Linked DNA regions of Rhinolophus ferrumequinum. The protein of the gene in region 1 interacts with the protein of each later gene in a pairwise test. Links are inferred from orthologs where the notes say so. Each region holds a gene or a part of one and is shown on either strand. Other genes may lie near its edges.

The links. The genes of interacting proteins can lie anywhere in the genome.
Region 2: the proteins of BCL2L13 (region 1) and PLN interact in binary tests that used the Homo sapiens proteins (3 or more experiments, as listed by UniProt). The two-hybrid records come from large-scale screens. The link is inferred for Rhinolophus ferrumequinum from reciprocal best matches to the Homo sapiens genes BCL2L13 and PLN.

Annotation. Positions count from the first base shown.
Region 1 is NC_046293.1:91,127,549-91,135,914, forward strand, and holds the start of BCL2L13 (bcl-2-like protein 13), read left to right. Parts: upstream 1-5,111; 5' UTR 5,112-5,276; intron 5,277-8,366. UniProt on the Homo sapiens protein: May promote the activation of caspase-3 and apoptosis.
Region 2 is NC_046286.1:68,961,632-68,969,481, reverse strand, and holds the start of PLN (cardiac phospholamban), read right to left. Parts: upstream 3,105-7,850; 5' UTR 2,991-3,104; intron 1-2,990. UniProt on the Homo sapiens protein: Reversibly inhibits the activity of ATP2A2/SERCA2 in cardiac sarcoplasmic reticulum by decreasing the apparent affinity of the ATPase for Ca(2+).

The DNA of each region.
Region 1 (8,366 bases):
TAAAGAGTAAAGAGTTGCAGCTCTCAGAACAAGAGAGAGTCCCGACCGGGTTGCCCAACATGGGGCAAAGGCTCTGGTTTTTATACCTTCCCTTGCCTGCTTGGAGAAGAGGGCTGGCACCTTCTAATGGAATTCCTCTATCAGGTTTGTCCTGTTTGCCCACCCCAAAGGGATTAACAATCCATCCTTATCTGTTAGATCCTAAAGGGATTAACGAACCCATTCCTATCTATCAGATCTGCTCCTTTGTCTGGCCAAAAGGGATTTATGAGATAATTTATTAACCTCAAGGTGCATTCTCATATCTTTGTCCTGGAGTGAAGGAGCCATTCTAGAACCAGGAGTTTCAGGATATGGCTGCCTTTTGTTTATCCCACCAGGGACCTCCCTGTCTACCTAACAACATGCTAACTAACCAGTCTCAATAGGCTTCTCTCATCTTGTAAGCTTTTGCATTAATAACTTCATTCTTCACCATCCCAGAGACAGAATTCCAGGATTATGCCTCTCTCTAGCATCCCTAGGTCAGGAGGAGGTGATATTCACTCATTTGGATTACAGTCCGTCCTCCCATTTATTTTTACAATATTCTGCAAATAATGGGTTGGTGAGTGGGAGCAGCTATCTAATGCCACATGTCTAATCATTTATGAAATTAATGTTTGGAACAGATGTAACACAGTCCAGATCACTACACTTTTGTTTTTTTGGAAAACAGTGTGCTGATTTTTATGATTTATTTATTGAAATTTTGAGACATTAAAAATACAGAAAAGTACTGTGGATGAAAACAAAGGTGTTCTTTGGAAGAAACCTCAAAGGGTGATCTATCTGATCATAACTTTCTAACTGAGCAGGTCATGGTGGGTAGTCACGCCCTAGGCATATAACTTCTTTGGTAAAGGCTCATCTTTGCCTTCAGCAAGGCCTGTCCATTGTTTCTGTGCATCCAAGTTAACACACCTTAGAAAGAAACCATAACCACCCCCAATAAAGCAAATAAACTTGCTAACTATCCTGCAATCCAGTTCACACCTTTCTCCCACCATCATGTAATCTTACTTTCCCTCCTTATTTTCAAATGCATAAAAGAAGCTGCAAAACTTTCATTTTCCAGAGCATTTGATATCTTGCTCTCCACCATGTCAGTTTGGCTCACATAAACTTATAAAAATTCTCTACAGGTTTGGATGTTTCTTACATCAACAGTACAAAGAATAATTCAAATAGTAATTATGTACCACCACCCCAAGTTGACAATTAGTATTTGTCCCATTTGCCTAAAGCCTTCATTTTTTTTTTTTTTTTTTTTAAGATTTTCTTGGGGAAGGGGAACAGGACTTTACTGGGGAACAGTGTATTTCCAGGGCTTTATTGGGGAACAGTGTGTTTTTTCCAGGACCTATCAGCTCCAAGTCAAGTTTGTCCTTTCAATCTTAGTTGCAGAGGGTACAGCTCAGCTCCAAGTCCAGTTGCTGTTTTCAATCTAGTTGCGGAGGGCGCAGCTCACTGGCCCATGTGGGAATCGAACTGGCAACCCTGTTGTTCAGAGTTCTAAACAACTGAGCTATCCAGCAGCCTCAGCCTTCATTTTTAAAATAACAGAAATAGTGTTACAGACATAGTTAACATCCCCTTTTGTGCATGTTTCCCCTCCCTCATGTTAATGCTCTTGACAAATAGTTCTGCAGTATTTTGCTGATTCACCAAGGAACAGGCCAGGTCTTGTCGGATAAGAACGTGGTAAGCTTCACAGGTACAGTCTCTGGAGTGAAAAAGATATTGTTAGTATGTACAAAGATTAGTTGGTAGTTTTCCAAATCCGCCTGTGTTAGCTTAGGTCTTATGGAGAAGCTTTATTAAAACAGTTTTTCAGGTAAATTCCAAAATCCCACTCCTCGATAAGCCTATTTACTTATGGCTTCACCAAAGCACCAAAAGCACTGACCTATATTCAGGTCAGCTTAGTCACAAAGAGATGGTTTACTAGCTCTTTGTCTCACCTGCTCCCAAGCTGAGGATTCAGTCTGGAGAGAGAGAGAGAGAGAGAGAGAGAGAGAGAGAGAGAGAGAGAGAGAGAGAGAGAGAGAGAGACAGAGAGAGAGAGAGACAGAGAGAGAGACAGAGAGACACAGGAGGTTGATAGGTCAGCCGATAAAGGAGCCTGCACGGTCAGGCAAGTTAAGAAAGTTTATTGTAAGAGAGCAAAGTCTATGGGGCCGTGCAAAGAAGGCTATAGCCCTTGAGGAAGGAGGTGAAGGGGGTTATATAGGGGGCGGTGCTCACAGGGTAGCATTGTTTGAACAGAAAAGGTTGACTGCTTGCCAGGCAACTGCCTGTAGCTGTTTTGAGGCGTTTTCTGTTATGGCAAGTTTGGCTCTGTCTGCAGGCGCAGGCCAACAGATATTTTGTTTTCTTGCAGACATGGCTCTCTGAGACCTAACATTCAGAGACCTAACAGAGATGAAAGTAAATCATCTCTCTTTGAAAGTTGAGGAATTAATTTTAAAGAGAAAAAACAAATGGTAGCAGAAAGTAGTGAAATTCTAACTTAGGCACATGCACTTTTTGCCACTTTCCAACCAAGATTCCTCATAGCAGAAAGAGTGAAAACCTAGATGGCATCTAGTCACCCCCGAATTTATAATCCTCTAGTGGCTTCTATTTGCTTGTGAACACCTTACACCATTGTCCGTGTGAGCGCTGCCTGGCTCGACCTGGCCCTGCCTGCTTGTCTGAGCTCATCACCCCTCTTCCCTTGCTCTCCACCTCAGAGCAAGGCTTCTTTTTCACCTCAGAGCAAGCCACCTCAGAGTAACTGGCTTCTTTTCAGTTCCTGGAAAACACCAAACGTTTTGCCTGAGAAGTTCTATTCTCCCTTAGTTTGTTTTTCATTGTTTAGGTCTCAACTTAAAATATCCCCTTCTTGGAGAGAGCTTTTCATAAACACCTTTTCACCTTATTTTCTATTCCAGCCCCTTTTTTATTTACTTTAGGATATGCCACAATTAAATTTTTTTTCTTTTAATTTCTAGGTTTTTGTCTGGTTTTCCAATGATAATGTCAGCTTCACTGGGACCATGTCTGACCTACACTCATCCAGCACACTGCCTACTACATAGGAAGCGTTCAATAAATGAGGAATGAGAATGAATAAAATGAGTAGAGTCTAGAGGTTAGAATTTATAATCACATCTGGCTGTAGGCTAGAACTCTGTATCACTCATAAGATCTGTCAAAACAAAACCGCATACACTGCTGTGATGAAAGTAAAATAATTTCTGTAAAAGACTATATTACTTTACACCATCTGCTGAAAAGACTATCCCCTTTTTCCGTTGAATTGCCTCGACACCTTTGTCAAAAATCAATTGACCATTCTGGAATTGCTATTCTGTTTCATTAACCTACATACTATCCTTATAGTACACATTTAAAAAGTAAAATAAAAAAGGGAAAAAAGCAAACCCTAAAACTGAAAGCAATCTGAAAGAAATGAACCTAACCGTTTATCAAATTAGTAACATAATTACACAGATTTATTTCATGTGACTTTTTGGGGACAAATTTACATACAATGAACTGCACAGACCTAAAAAGTACAATTAGATGAGTTCTGATGTCTGTGTGATCACCACCCCAATCAAGATACAGAATATTCCCATCATGCTAGAAAGTTCCTTTCTTGTCAATCCCACATCCCCTGCCCCAGGCAATAGTGTGCAGATTTCTATAACCATTAATTAATTTTGCTTATTTCTGAAATTTATATAAACAGAATCACACAGCATGTACATTTTTGTGTCTGGCTTCTTTCCCTCAACACAGTGTTTTTGAGATTACTTTGTATGCCACATATCAATGATTCATTTTTGCTTTATGCTGTGTAATTTCCATTGTATGAGTATACTTCAAAAAGTCAATGTTATTTAAAATAAGACTAGGAGACTAATAAAAATGTAACACCAAATGCAATGCATGACCCCTTTTTTAAACTATAAAAGCCATTAGGACAATCGCGAACATTTAAATATGGACTGGTTATTAGGTACTGCTAGGGAGTTCCTGACGGCCTTCTTAGCCCACTCAGCCTATTCTCGGCAAACCTCTATTAATGCACCGCCATTTTCTCAGTCACACAGGCTTAAAGCCTCTTATGAGGCCAGCTCTAGCCTTCTTTTCAATTCCCATGCACTCTCATACTAGTTCAGGTTCTGTTTTCTTTATTGAGCTATAACTCACATATCATACAATTCACCTATTTAAAGTGTAAAATTAAATGGTTTCAAGTATATTCACAGAGCTGTGTAACCATCACCCCCAAAAGAAACCCTGTACCCATCAGCAGTCACTCCTCATCAGGCTTTTATCATTCCTGATCTGCCTCCTTGCAACAGCATTCTAACTCATCTTCAACGCTCTCCTTCCAACTTATCTCATGTACACACTGACAATTGGATTTCCCTAAAGCGTGGTTAAAGATACTAGGCCCTCTCAACTAGTTACCTTCAGTGATTGCCACAAAGGACGCTTGGGTTCAAGTAAATAAACATCCATTAGCAAATTCTATTCCAGGCCCAGCGCTGGGCGCTACGAACACAATGGATTACCACTGAAGATTCCTTTTATTTCCACAGTGCTTCTGCTCAAGCAGGGCCCTCCACCTAGAATGACCTCTCTACTCCCAACCCCCAGAAATCTTTTCTGACAAGTGGTTGCCAACTCTGCAGCTCTCCTGACATTCTTGACAGTTCTCGAACACGGTCGATTACACACTGAAAGCGCAATACTTGTTTGTTTAATACAGCCGTAGAACATATTCTGTGGATACGGAACATAGTTCTTGGAAGCAGCAATGCTTCTTGTGGGCATCGCCAGCTCCTCTCCCCTCGTCAGTATCCCACCTCCCTTCCATCAGCCCTCAATGACCTCCACCAACCCCAGGAATCACATTTGAGCGACTCCTGGGAAAAGAGGGATCGGAGAGGTCGACTCTCCTGGGTCACACCTGCACGAAGACACCTCCAAAACTGCAAGGTCCGTACTTCCGCTGGGGAAAACGAGCCGCCCCTTCCGGCGCCCCACGGCGCCCCGGCCCGCCCCGCGCCGGCGGTGACGGAAGCACGCCGGGGGTGACCTCACCCTCCAACATGGCGGCGGCGGTAGATTAGGGTCGCCGGTCGCAGCAGGCACCGCCGCTGGGGGACCCTGTCGGAAACAGCTGCCGCCGCCGCCGCCGCCTCTTTCATCTCTTCTGGGGCAGGGGCCAGGGCCAGGTGAGGGAAGTGGGGTTCCGGGCAGGCAGAGCTGGTCCTCACTCAGCTCCTCAGGCGGTTTTTCACTGGGTAGGGAGGTGTCCAGAGACTGTGCCGAACCACCGGCCCCTCAGTGGTTCCGGCGACGCGCGAGTGAGTGTCCGTGTCTGACCGTGAGTGAATGAGTGTGCATGTGTACTGGCGCTTCTTCGCCCGAGGGTTCTAGAAGCTTAAAGGGCCCATTTCACCGTAGCTGGACCTGTCCAGCAAGGTCCCGTCGCGAACGCTTGTGGAGCGGGGCTTCCTGCGTGGGCTGCGGGAGGCGAAGGATCCCGGCTCCGGCTCTGCACCGCGGTTCTTCCCCACCGATACCCTCACACCGAAAACCCGGCTCCATTTTTAGAACCAGGCTGGGGAACGTGGGCTTCTTTTTGGTCGAGGAAAAGGTTTTCTTGCGATTCGTTTAGAATTATAGATTAGCTCTGCCCATCCTAGTCGTTTCTTCTTAACAGTGTTAGAAATTGTTTATGCTTTCTTCACTGCTGTTCTGACACCCATTATCATTTTTTCAGAAAAACCCTCCATACCCTTGGATGCAATAGTTTACACTGTGTTGTTTCTTACTTTGATTTCTATCTTCTCACCATTCCAAGGAGATCCCAAGTTTCTTTTCTTTAATAACTGACTGAAGGAAAACTAGACTCTTGAGTTGAGGCTTTAACGGGGTTGGAAATCGGACGGAACTGGCCAGCTCTTCACAGGCTCCTGACTGCTAGCTTTGTTTAGCTCTTAAGCACTCCCCGCACAAGTGTGTGTTTTTCCAAAATAGCTATCTCATCGTCTCTATTTAGAAGTAAACTGACAGTCCCTCCTTAACCCCCACTTCAATGACATAAAGCAACCAACAGAAAGTCTTTGCGAAATTTTTAGTAAGAGTGCCCCTGGGAGTTTGGTGTAAACCAGAATGTTGATCTCTGCTCTGACTTGTGTGACCTTGGATAGTTTGCCACACCCTTCTGATACCTTCTTCTTTCCTCCCAGAAAATTAAGCAAGTGTTTGTGTAAGTAGTGAACTATTTATACCTCATACACACAGTTGGATAAATATACACTGCACATTTGCACCTGCAAATTGAAAATATTTACACCGTTATGAAATATTCTTCATTTGATGATAGGCCATTAAGGATTTTGAAAATCCTTTTACTCTCAGTAAATACCATCTAAGTATTTTTTTTTTTAATGACTCATTTTCTCATGGAGAACTCTACCTCAGTAGTTGAATTCAGTTGGAGGATATGTAAGGTTGAGTTCATCCTGTTTTGTAAAGAAAAAATGTGATCACTAGCACACCGGTTAGTCAATATTTACTAAATATCTTTTTTTTTTTTTTTTAAGATTTTATTGGAGAAGGGAAGCAGGACTTCATTGGGGAACAGTGTGTATTTTCCAGGACTATCAGGGAAGTGTGTTTTTCCCAGGACCCATCAGCTCCAAGTCAAGTTGTCCTTTCAATCTTAGTTGTGGAGGGCACAGCTCAGCTCTAAGTCCAGTTGCCCTTGTTCAATCTTAGTTGCAGGGGGCGCAGTCCACCGGCCCTTGCGGGGGTCGAACCAGCAACCTTGTGGTTAAGAGCATGCACTCCAACAAACTGAGCCATCTGGCTGCCCTAAATATCTTAAATAAGAAGTTGTTAGGACAAGTGATTTGCAACTATAATAATCATTGTTTAAAAAGATATTTCTTATGAAATATTTTCAATGTACGAAACAGAAGTTTTAAACAATTAGTACTGCCATCCTGCTTTTTATGACTGTTTTCCAAACATGATTTTGGTTCATATCTTATTCCAAATATATGGTCACCAAGAATTCTTAAGTAATACATATTACAGAGTTGAAGGGAGCTGGACTCTTTTAAACAGCTTTATTGAGATATAATTCTCGCATACTGGTACAACTCACCAATTGCACAATTGAATGGTTTTTAGTATATTCACTGAGTGTATAACCATCACCACAATTTTCAGCACCCCAAAAAGAAATCTGGTACCCATTAGGAGTCATTATTTCCACTCTCCCCCACCTTCCCTACCTGGGCAACCACCGTTTTGCTTTCTGTCTGTAGATTTGCTGATTCTGGATATTTCATATAAGTGGAATTATGTAATATTTGGACTTTGTGACTGGCTTCTTTTACTTAGCATAATGTTTTCAGGGTTCAGCCATGTTATGGCATATGTCAGAACCTCATTCCTTTTTATGGCCTGATATTCCGTTGTATGAATATATCACATTTTTATTTATCAGTTGATGGGCAGATATTTCCACTATTTGGCTGTTTTATATATAATGCTGCTATGACTATTCCTGTGCAGGTTTTTATATAGGCATGTGTTTTTATTTCTCTCTGGCGTATATACTTAGGAGTGTAACAGTAACTGAATTTTATGTCTTCCTTTTACACAAGCTATCTACACATATGGGAATCCTAACTTACTGTGAAAGTCAGACTGTGTTTGTATGTCTGTGGGGAGAGAGTGAGAGTAAGGCTTTCCTCCATAAGTATATTATTATCTGGGAGTGCCAACTGCTGAGTGAAAACATTTTTGGGCAGATCTTAACACAAGATTGAACTGGAGTGTTTCAATTAGACATGTTGCAGTTGGAAAGGGATAGCCTACATTAGAATACTTAGGTTTTGCTGAGTTTTAAAAATGACACGTTGCCCAGTTGCATTTCTCAGCTGGATGGGGTGAATTTTTGCAATTTTACAGTTTTTATTAGGATTATTTAATTTTACCTATTTTCTTTTGGAAAAAGTCTTAGAATTCTGTAGGAGCTAGTAAAGCATGGATTAAGAAAATAGAGTTATTGGATTCATGTTAATTTCTGGAACTTTTAAAAAAATTCCCTACTCAAACCACCAGTGAGTCTTGGTACTAGAGATCTGGTAACCGAAAAACTTTGTAAGGGGTGGCTGGTTCGCATAGTTGGTTAGAGCATGGTGCTGATAACACCAAGGTTGCCGGATTGATCTCATGGGCCACTGTGAGCTGCACCCTCCGAACTTTGTTAATGTTTAAAATTACAAGTTTTGATTTATGACTGA
Region 2 (7,850 bases), on another chromosome or scaffold:
ATTATTTCCCAGATTTCTAACCTTTAGGTTTGCTCCTTGGCTGGTATGATCAGCACTGTTAATTCACAGTTGAGATGAAGGTTAGTGATTTCCACCGCATAAAAACAAGATTCCTCTGTTCAAGCATTTCAGAACATATGGGGTTGAATATTTTAAATGGTAGAATGTGAGGAGGTGAGAAAGGAAATTGAGGAAAGCCAAAAGATTTAATATAATACTGGAATGAAGTGTGAAAATGTGGCTTTGTGAAAAGTTTTGAGGAGAAATTAACCTGGATTTTAGGTAATCAAGGCTAAATAGATGAAAAGCATTGAGTAGTTTAACAGTGAAACACATTAAAAAGGAACTTTAATTTGATTGATTGATCATGTTATTTTTTTAAAGTCTTGGTAATTGTTTTCAGTTTTACCTTCCAGGGTGTATTACTTAATAACTAAGATCATCTATAACATGCTTACATCCCTGGCTTTGAAAATAAACAGGATAGTAGTATACTCATAGGCTATTAAGGACATAATGCCTTATACATAAATTAACTTGAAATGAAATGGAGAGGTTCTAAATAAAATAGAAGTTTGTGTCCTCTAACTTTGCCTTTTAGAGTACCATTAACAGTATTTGAGGACTTTCAATTTATTTTGCTTTGCCAATGTCATGTTTTATTTTTAAGCCATGTTGACCCGTGGGTGGGATGTACATGTGGTTTAGAGTCAGAAAATCTTGGCCCCTGCCAAGGTTCCACCATTTCCCATCTGTGACCTTGGGCAACTCACCGTTTTCACATCTGTTTTCTAAATTGTAAAACAGAGATGTGGTGTCAAACATATCGGGAGCTAAAAGGATCAAGTGAAGTTTTTATATACACTAGTGCATTTAGAAAATTGTTCAAGGAAAAAGAAAGCAGTTTCAATTGACTTTATATTTCTAGGATTGTTAATAAATAAACAGCCTTGCTTAGAGAGGTAATCTAATCTTTACATTTAAGTTTTACTTAAAATTTTAATATGTTACATAATTTATTACATAATTAATAATATTGCTTAATACATTTAGTAAATTAAAATTTTCATTCTTTCTTTGAACTGTTTTATCTATACCAGTATTCTTCTATCTCTAATTAGTGAAATTAAGAAACAGTATGGATAAGTATGTAACCAAATGCAATTTTTTTCTGGAATATTACTTTTCTTTATGTCTACTAAAATACTATTAAAATAATTTTTGATATTTGAGTCTTAGGAAATGCTAGTGATGTGACTTCTTTTAATAAAGCAAGGTACTCTAGCTCTTTCACGTGTCTTTAAAATTTAATCAGTTTTCATAATTTAAACATCTTGCACATTTCTTCCATTTTATTTCATCTGACACTCCTTTTTAGCACTTAATTTTAAACCACACGTCTTTATAAACAAAGACAATACTTAAATTTCACCCTGTGTTTGAGATGAACTTGTTGGTACAAAATATCTGACACTAACACAATGTTTGAAATTTGAACAACAGTCACCGTAACTAATTTTTGTTTTTCTGGACACATTATCTAAGGATATCTTTAATAGAATTTCTGCTCTTTCTAGATATTGTCAATTTTTTGGAGCAATAGGTGATGTGGTGATAGTCTGGTACTATAAAGACTCACAAACAGTTGAAATGTGAGAATGTAATTTGATAGGTATATGAGTAAAAATAAATAAATATGCATATAAGACACCTACCTACACTGAGTGACTTCCCTGTAATATCAAAGGAAAAACATTTTATGAATGTAAAGATATTGAGAGGCAGTGAGGGTGCCTCATTGGTAGGCAAAAACCAGGAATGTTTTTGCATGCCTTAAGGAAAGCTGCTTGTGGAATTACAGAGTTCTTTCTATAACTAGCAGTAGAGTTAACATTTGTCATAGGAATTCAGAATTTTAGAGATGAATTTTATTTTGACCTATATATATGAAAATGAAAAGAATGAAATAAAATCGATGTAATATTCTTTATACTATGAGATTTAAGAATGAAGACACATTTCATATAGTAAATTGAGATTTATAACATAAAAAGTAGAGTAGAATTCAACCAGAAGTTATTTTTCTTTTTTCCTCCCCCCCCCCTTCTAAATGTGAGAGAGGAAACTGAAGATTGTAACTTAGTATTTTCATTGCTAGGTAGAATATACACTCATTTTATCAAATTCATTCAAATGGGATATTTAGGAATGTTTGTGCTGCTAAAATAAGATCTATTTTTAAAGTGCCACATTGTATTCTGTGCATTTAGAAAGAATTTTGCATGTGTTCTTGACAAGTGTTTTGGAATTTTCAAACTTGTTATTTATGATATGGTATTGAAATTAATGTAAGTAACTCAATTTATTAAAAGCTTGGATTTCTTTTTAGCAGTGTTTGTTAAAGTTGACTGGACTTTATAGAAAGGAAAAAAGTCTTCAAAAGCATTTTAAATAGTTTTGATTATATATTCTTCAATTCTACTTTGTTAATATTCCCTGTAAGGAATCATAATAATAATATTGGAAAAGTTATGCCAATGATGTGCATGTTGTACAATCACAGGACTGTTCATAGTATTCCAGATGTAGACAGCCCACCCTGTTTCTCAGCAGAATAACAAATAACAAAATGAAGCCATTGTTTTTGCCTGAAGAAATCAAATCACCACTATCACCAACCAAATTTGAAAGGTATTTTAATTGGCAGAAATTCACTTTGAAAAGCAAAATGAACGTGAAAATTAAAATGAAAAAACCAATAACCAAGATCAAAGATGAATGCAACCCTTTTCATTTCAAAGCTAAGTCTTATTCTTAGTCACTGAATTATAAGCATTTATTTAGAAATTAAGCTTTTTGTCATATCAGACATTTTATTGTCTAACTTTGAGCTATAATTTACAATATATGATTAATTCTTTTTAAAGAGTTCAGTAAGTTTGAATTACAGAAACTAAGAATTTCCCAAATCAGTGAAATCTATTTCTTACCTTAGCTGTTGTGACGATCACAATGTATAGAGTGTTGTGAGTGGTATGAAGTCTTTATCGGCGTTTAGCTGGAAAGTTTTCTCTGTTACCAGATTTATGGGAACAATTGAAGTTGGGAGAGGAGAAAAAGTGTTCTAGGGAGGTCTCATGATGTCACAGAGGAATTCTGCAGATGTGATTGGTTAGCCATAGTCTTACCACACCCAAACTTTTTAGAATGTCATTTATCTCACTTTAGGTTTGGAAAGGTCATTAACACTTTGTGCCTCATTTTTAACTTTTAAAAGTATATGAGAGAGATGAAAAAACTGTTTGGGGTGGTAGAAAGCTCTTTTTAAATACTTGTGCATCTTTGGGCTTAGAAATGATTGTATTCTCATGGTGATAATGTTGAAGAACTAAAATAGTTACAGTAATAGGAACTTTCATAGAATGAGAATACTGGTTTAAGCCAAACAAGTTGTATTGAGTTGCTCTTGCTGCAGGTGCTTTGACATTGCAGCTTCATAATGTTAGCTTCTAGCAAGACAATAATTAGACATGAACTCAGCCTGCTTCACTTTCTTATGGGTAACTAAAATGTGTTGTGCAGCAGCTGCTGATGTGCCCTTAAATGGAGATGATTTTGGCTTCTTCCAAAGAAAGATAAAATCATTCTCTAGAGCAAATCTCTCATTATTTAAAGAATCAGCTACAACTAACAGAAAAAATATTTCAGTGATGACCCTCTGTGAACATTGCTAACGGAAAATTTACAACTTAAAAGTAAAACTCAAAATTAAAAATATTTCATGAATAATGTTTGACATTTGCTCAGTGCTCTACAAGCATTCTTTGTTTCATTCCTTACATAATAAGAATCTTTTATTATCATCAATTGCCAATGATGACTGAAATATAAAACCTAGGCTTGAAATGCAAGCATAAAATGGTTTACAGTAATTTGTCAAAGATGACACATCTGCTAAGAGAGAGACTGAGGATTCAAATCCGGATCTGTTTAGTTACAGTTCACTGATAGAATGGCATGTTGTGGGGGTGGAAATCATAATTTGGATATAGATTTCATAGAGTAGCATACATAAACTAAGAAATTTTGATGGAGATAAATGAATTATTGAAAACTTTTACTATTTTTAGAAAGTCTGCTTTAAGTGTCTGCCAGTTACACATTCATTTGAAAATAGATCATTGTATCAGCACCTCTAGTTCTAAGAAAATAGAATTAGTAATACTCAGTTGGATAAACTAAGAAACTGCCATAGACTCAATAAAATATGCTATGGATATCTCACATGTTGCTATATTTGCTTTAAAAACCTACATAGGTGTGCATGTGCGCGTGCGCGCATACACACACCTTAGAAGGATACTAATGAACTGGGTGTGTCAGAGTTGGTAAATGGAGACAAAAATATACTTTTTAGATTTGTACAAGGGTGGGGAGCTTCTGTGTTTACCTTTTTCCTTTTGGTTAGCTGCTGCTGTTTATTAGTACAAGTAGAGCTCTAGGAAGTGTTATACGTACTTCAGTTTCAGCCTGATTTAGCCTAAACAGAAAGTTGTTTAGTAGGAGCATTGGTGAACTACAGTATAATCAGTAGTGTTCCTCAAAATTCCACAACTAGGGGCTGGAAATTGTTTTTAGAGGTGCTTTGTCAGACTCCATTTTGCATCAAGCTATAGAATTTGAATTTTTGGTCACATGATCATGTACAACTTCCCTAAGCTGCCTTGTCTGTGGACTGGGTTTGTTGTGAGGGTTTAATGAGATGAATTATGTGTAGTGACTATCAGAGGTCCTGCAACACAGTGTCCATTTAGTGTTAGTATTTAGTTTTTATTTGCCTTTAGAAGATGATTCTTAACCTGCAGTCCATGGGTAGAGTTCAATGGTCTTTGAACTTGGATAGGAAAACAATTACATCTTTAGTAACCTTTAAATGAGATTTAGCATTTCTTCAGTTTTGACTATGCACCACAAACTGCAGAAGTGTTAGTAGCACATTTGACTGTCACTGTAGCAATTTCAGATAATTTAATATGTTACAGTTGTTGCAGATAGCTTGAAATACTGTTTACTTTAATCACTAGTTTGAAACTACCATAATTAAACCTGCCTGTAAATATTATTTATTGTGTTAAAGAAGCCCAAATATTACATCTCAAATTTGTTTTTTAAAATAAGTATTTCAGTGTAATTCATTTTCTTTCTAGTTCTGTGCATCTTAATTTTTTAAAAAAATTTATTTTGGAACAACCCTAAATTTACAGAATTATTACAAATACAGTGCAGAGGGTTCCTGTATACCCTGCACCTGGTTTCCCCTATTGTTAATATCCTGCATTAGTATGGTACATTTGTTACAACAGTTACACCTATGGTAATAGATTATTTTAACCAAAACCCATACTTTATTCAGATTTCCTCAGTTTTCCCCAGTGTTCCTTTTCTTTGCCAGGATCTTATCCAGGACACCAGATTGCCTTTAGTAGACATGCTTCCTTTGGTCCCCTTGATTGTGACATTCCTCAGAGTTTGCTTTTTTTTTGATAACCCCAACCATTTTGAAGAGTTCTAGTCAGATATTTTGTGGAATGACCTCCAGTTGGGATTTGTCTGATGTTTTTCTTATAGTTAGATGTGTTTTTGCAAGGAAGACGAGAGAGTTCAAGTGCCGTTTTCATCACCTGTCAAAGTGTAAACTATCACTGTGACATCAGTGTTGTTAACCTTGATCGCCTGGCTGAAGTGTAATGTTCGTCAGGTTTCTCCATGTAAAGTTACTCTTTTCTTACTCCTTCCTTACTGTGCTCTCCAGAAGAAAGGCACATGCGCAGCTACGCTTAGGCTTCACTACCGTAAGAGTTTCAGAATGTCTATAAAAATTATTTGGAATCCTGTGTATTTTATGTATATAAAAAAATTTGGAGAACAGATCAGTAAGCTTCAGCAGTCTGCCAGAAAAGTCCATGGCACACACAAAAAATGAAGAATTCCTTTGTTACAGGATGTTTTTTAGTTGTGTGTGGCGGCCTTTTTGAAAGAGGAGGACTGAGCTCCCAAAGAGGCTAAAATCCTGACTTCTGAGTTGGCTTTTTTAGGCCCTGTCTTTGCAGCTTCGTCTCTTATCACATTCCTTTGTAGTCTGTCTCTGGCCTTGTACAGTTAGCTGCCAGGGACTCTCTGAACAGGCTGCTGTTCTATTTTCAGCCTCCCTGCTTTTTGTAGGAGTGTCCTTCTTACCAACCTTTGTGCCCATCAAAGGGCTGTCAATTTATATGTGCTGTGCAGCCCTCCCTGCCTTATATCAAACAATTTGCATGTACCTTTGGTATCATCTCTCTTTTATTGTATTTATTAGTGTATGTGCCTAGACTAGATTGCAAGCTCCTTGAGAGCTGATCCAATAATTCGTATTTATATCACTGTTTGTTCTTTGTAGTATTGATTGAATGAATGATTAGATGAGTGAATAAAGTGGGGACCAGGAAAGATTGCAAGTGAATTGGTAGTGAATGAGTGATCCTGCAGAATTAAGTCTTAGGGACAATTATAAAATCCTTCTCAATTTTAAGATCATTGTGGGGGGAGTGAGGAAGGATAATTTCATATAGTCGTTGTTTTGATAGTTTGAAATACTGTTTACATTAATCACTACTTTGAAGTTGCCATAATTAGACCTGCCTGTAAATATTGTTATTTAATGTATTAAAGAAGCACAAATATTATATCACAAATTTGTTTTTTAAAATAAGTATTTCAGTGTAATTCATTCTCTTTTTAGTTCTGTGCATCTAATTTGGGAGGTTAGGGATAAAAGTGGAATGAGAATAAATTCTGTCAAAATATTTCTCGCCCTTTAAAAATATTTTAAATATCCTTGGGGGGTAAGAGTGGAGGAAGGCCAAACCAAAAGCTCATATTCCCTAAACCAAGCTTTTAAAAACTTAAAAATACATTTTTTCTTTCCTCATTGGATTCATAATAATTCATAGTACTTTATTTACTCTTATCTGCCTTCATTTATGTAGTTACTTAGTTTTTATTTTATTGCAATAGTAGTTTCCTTAAATTTTAGTAATAAGCATCTCTAAGATTATTACCTAAAATAAAAGCCAGGATGTTAGTAATAACATATCGAACTACATGTTCTTGCCCTGTTTGTCCTATTCTCCCCACCCAAGCAAATGATTATTCTGAATCCTGGGTTTATTTCTTTCCATTTGTTTTTGTATAGTTTTATGGCATTTAAAAAATGTATTCCTTAAAAGTATTTTTTATTTTACTTTATATAAAGAAAATCATGATGTATGTAATTTTTTACACTGAGTATTTAAACTCCAACTTGTAGCTGTGTCGGAGGCAAAAGAAGCATCAAGATAGATAAGTTTTTCTGGAAATTTTTTGACAAAAAGCTAATTGAAGTGGTAGTGAAATTAAAACATTTTAATACTTAGGCAAATATATTACAGTAAAATACAGGCTTTGAATAAATTTTTGTGATGCACACAGTGCTTCAAAGATAGGAGTTTTTTTAATTAGACCTTCTAGACACCCAGGAGGAAGATCGTACCTAACCCTTAAGGATACTGTATTATTAAAAGTTTGTGAATCACTTTTAAAGCTACCTAAGGAAGGATTAGTTGGAAAAACATCTAAGAGCGAGAATGAGAATGTAGTCTGAGCCTGAGGGGATGGGAAGTGCCTAAGGTAATAGAGAAGGGAGAGTAGGAGGTGTGGGGTGAGGGGCCGGTACTGAAGTAACCTGTGACACTTACGGTCATTGGGGAGGGAGATTCACTTTTAGGATTGACTTGCCAGATATTTGAAGGCCCAAGTGTTTTATTTTCTCACAA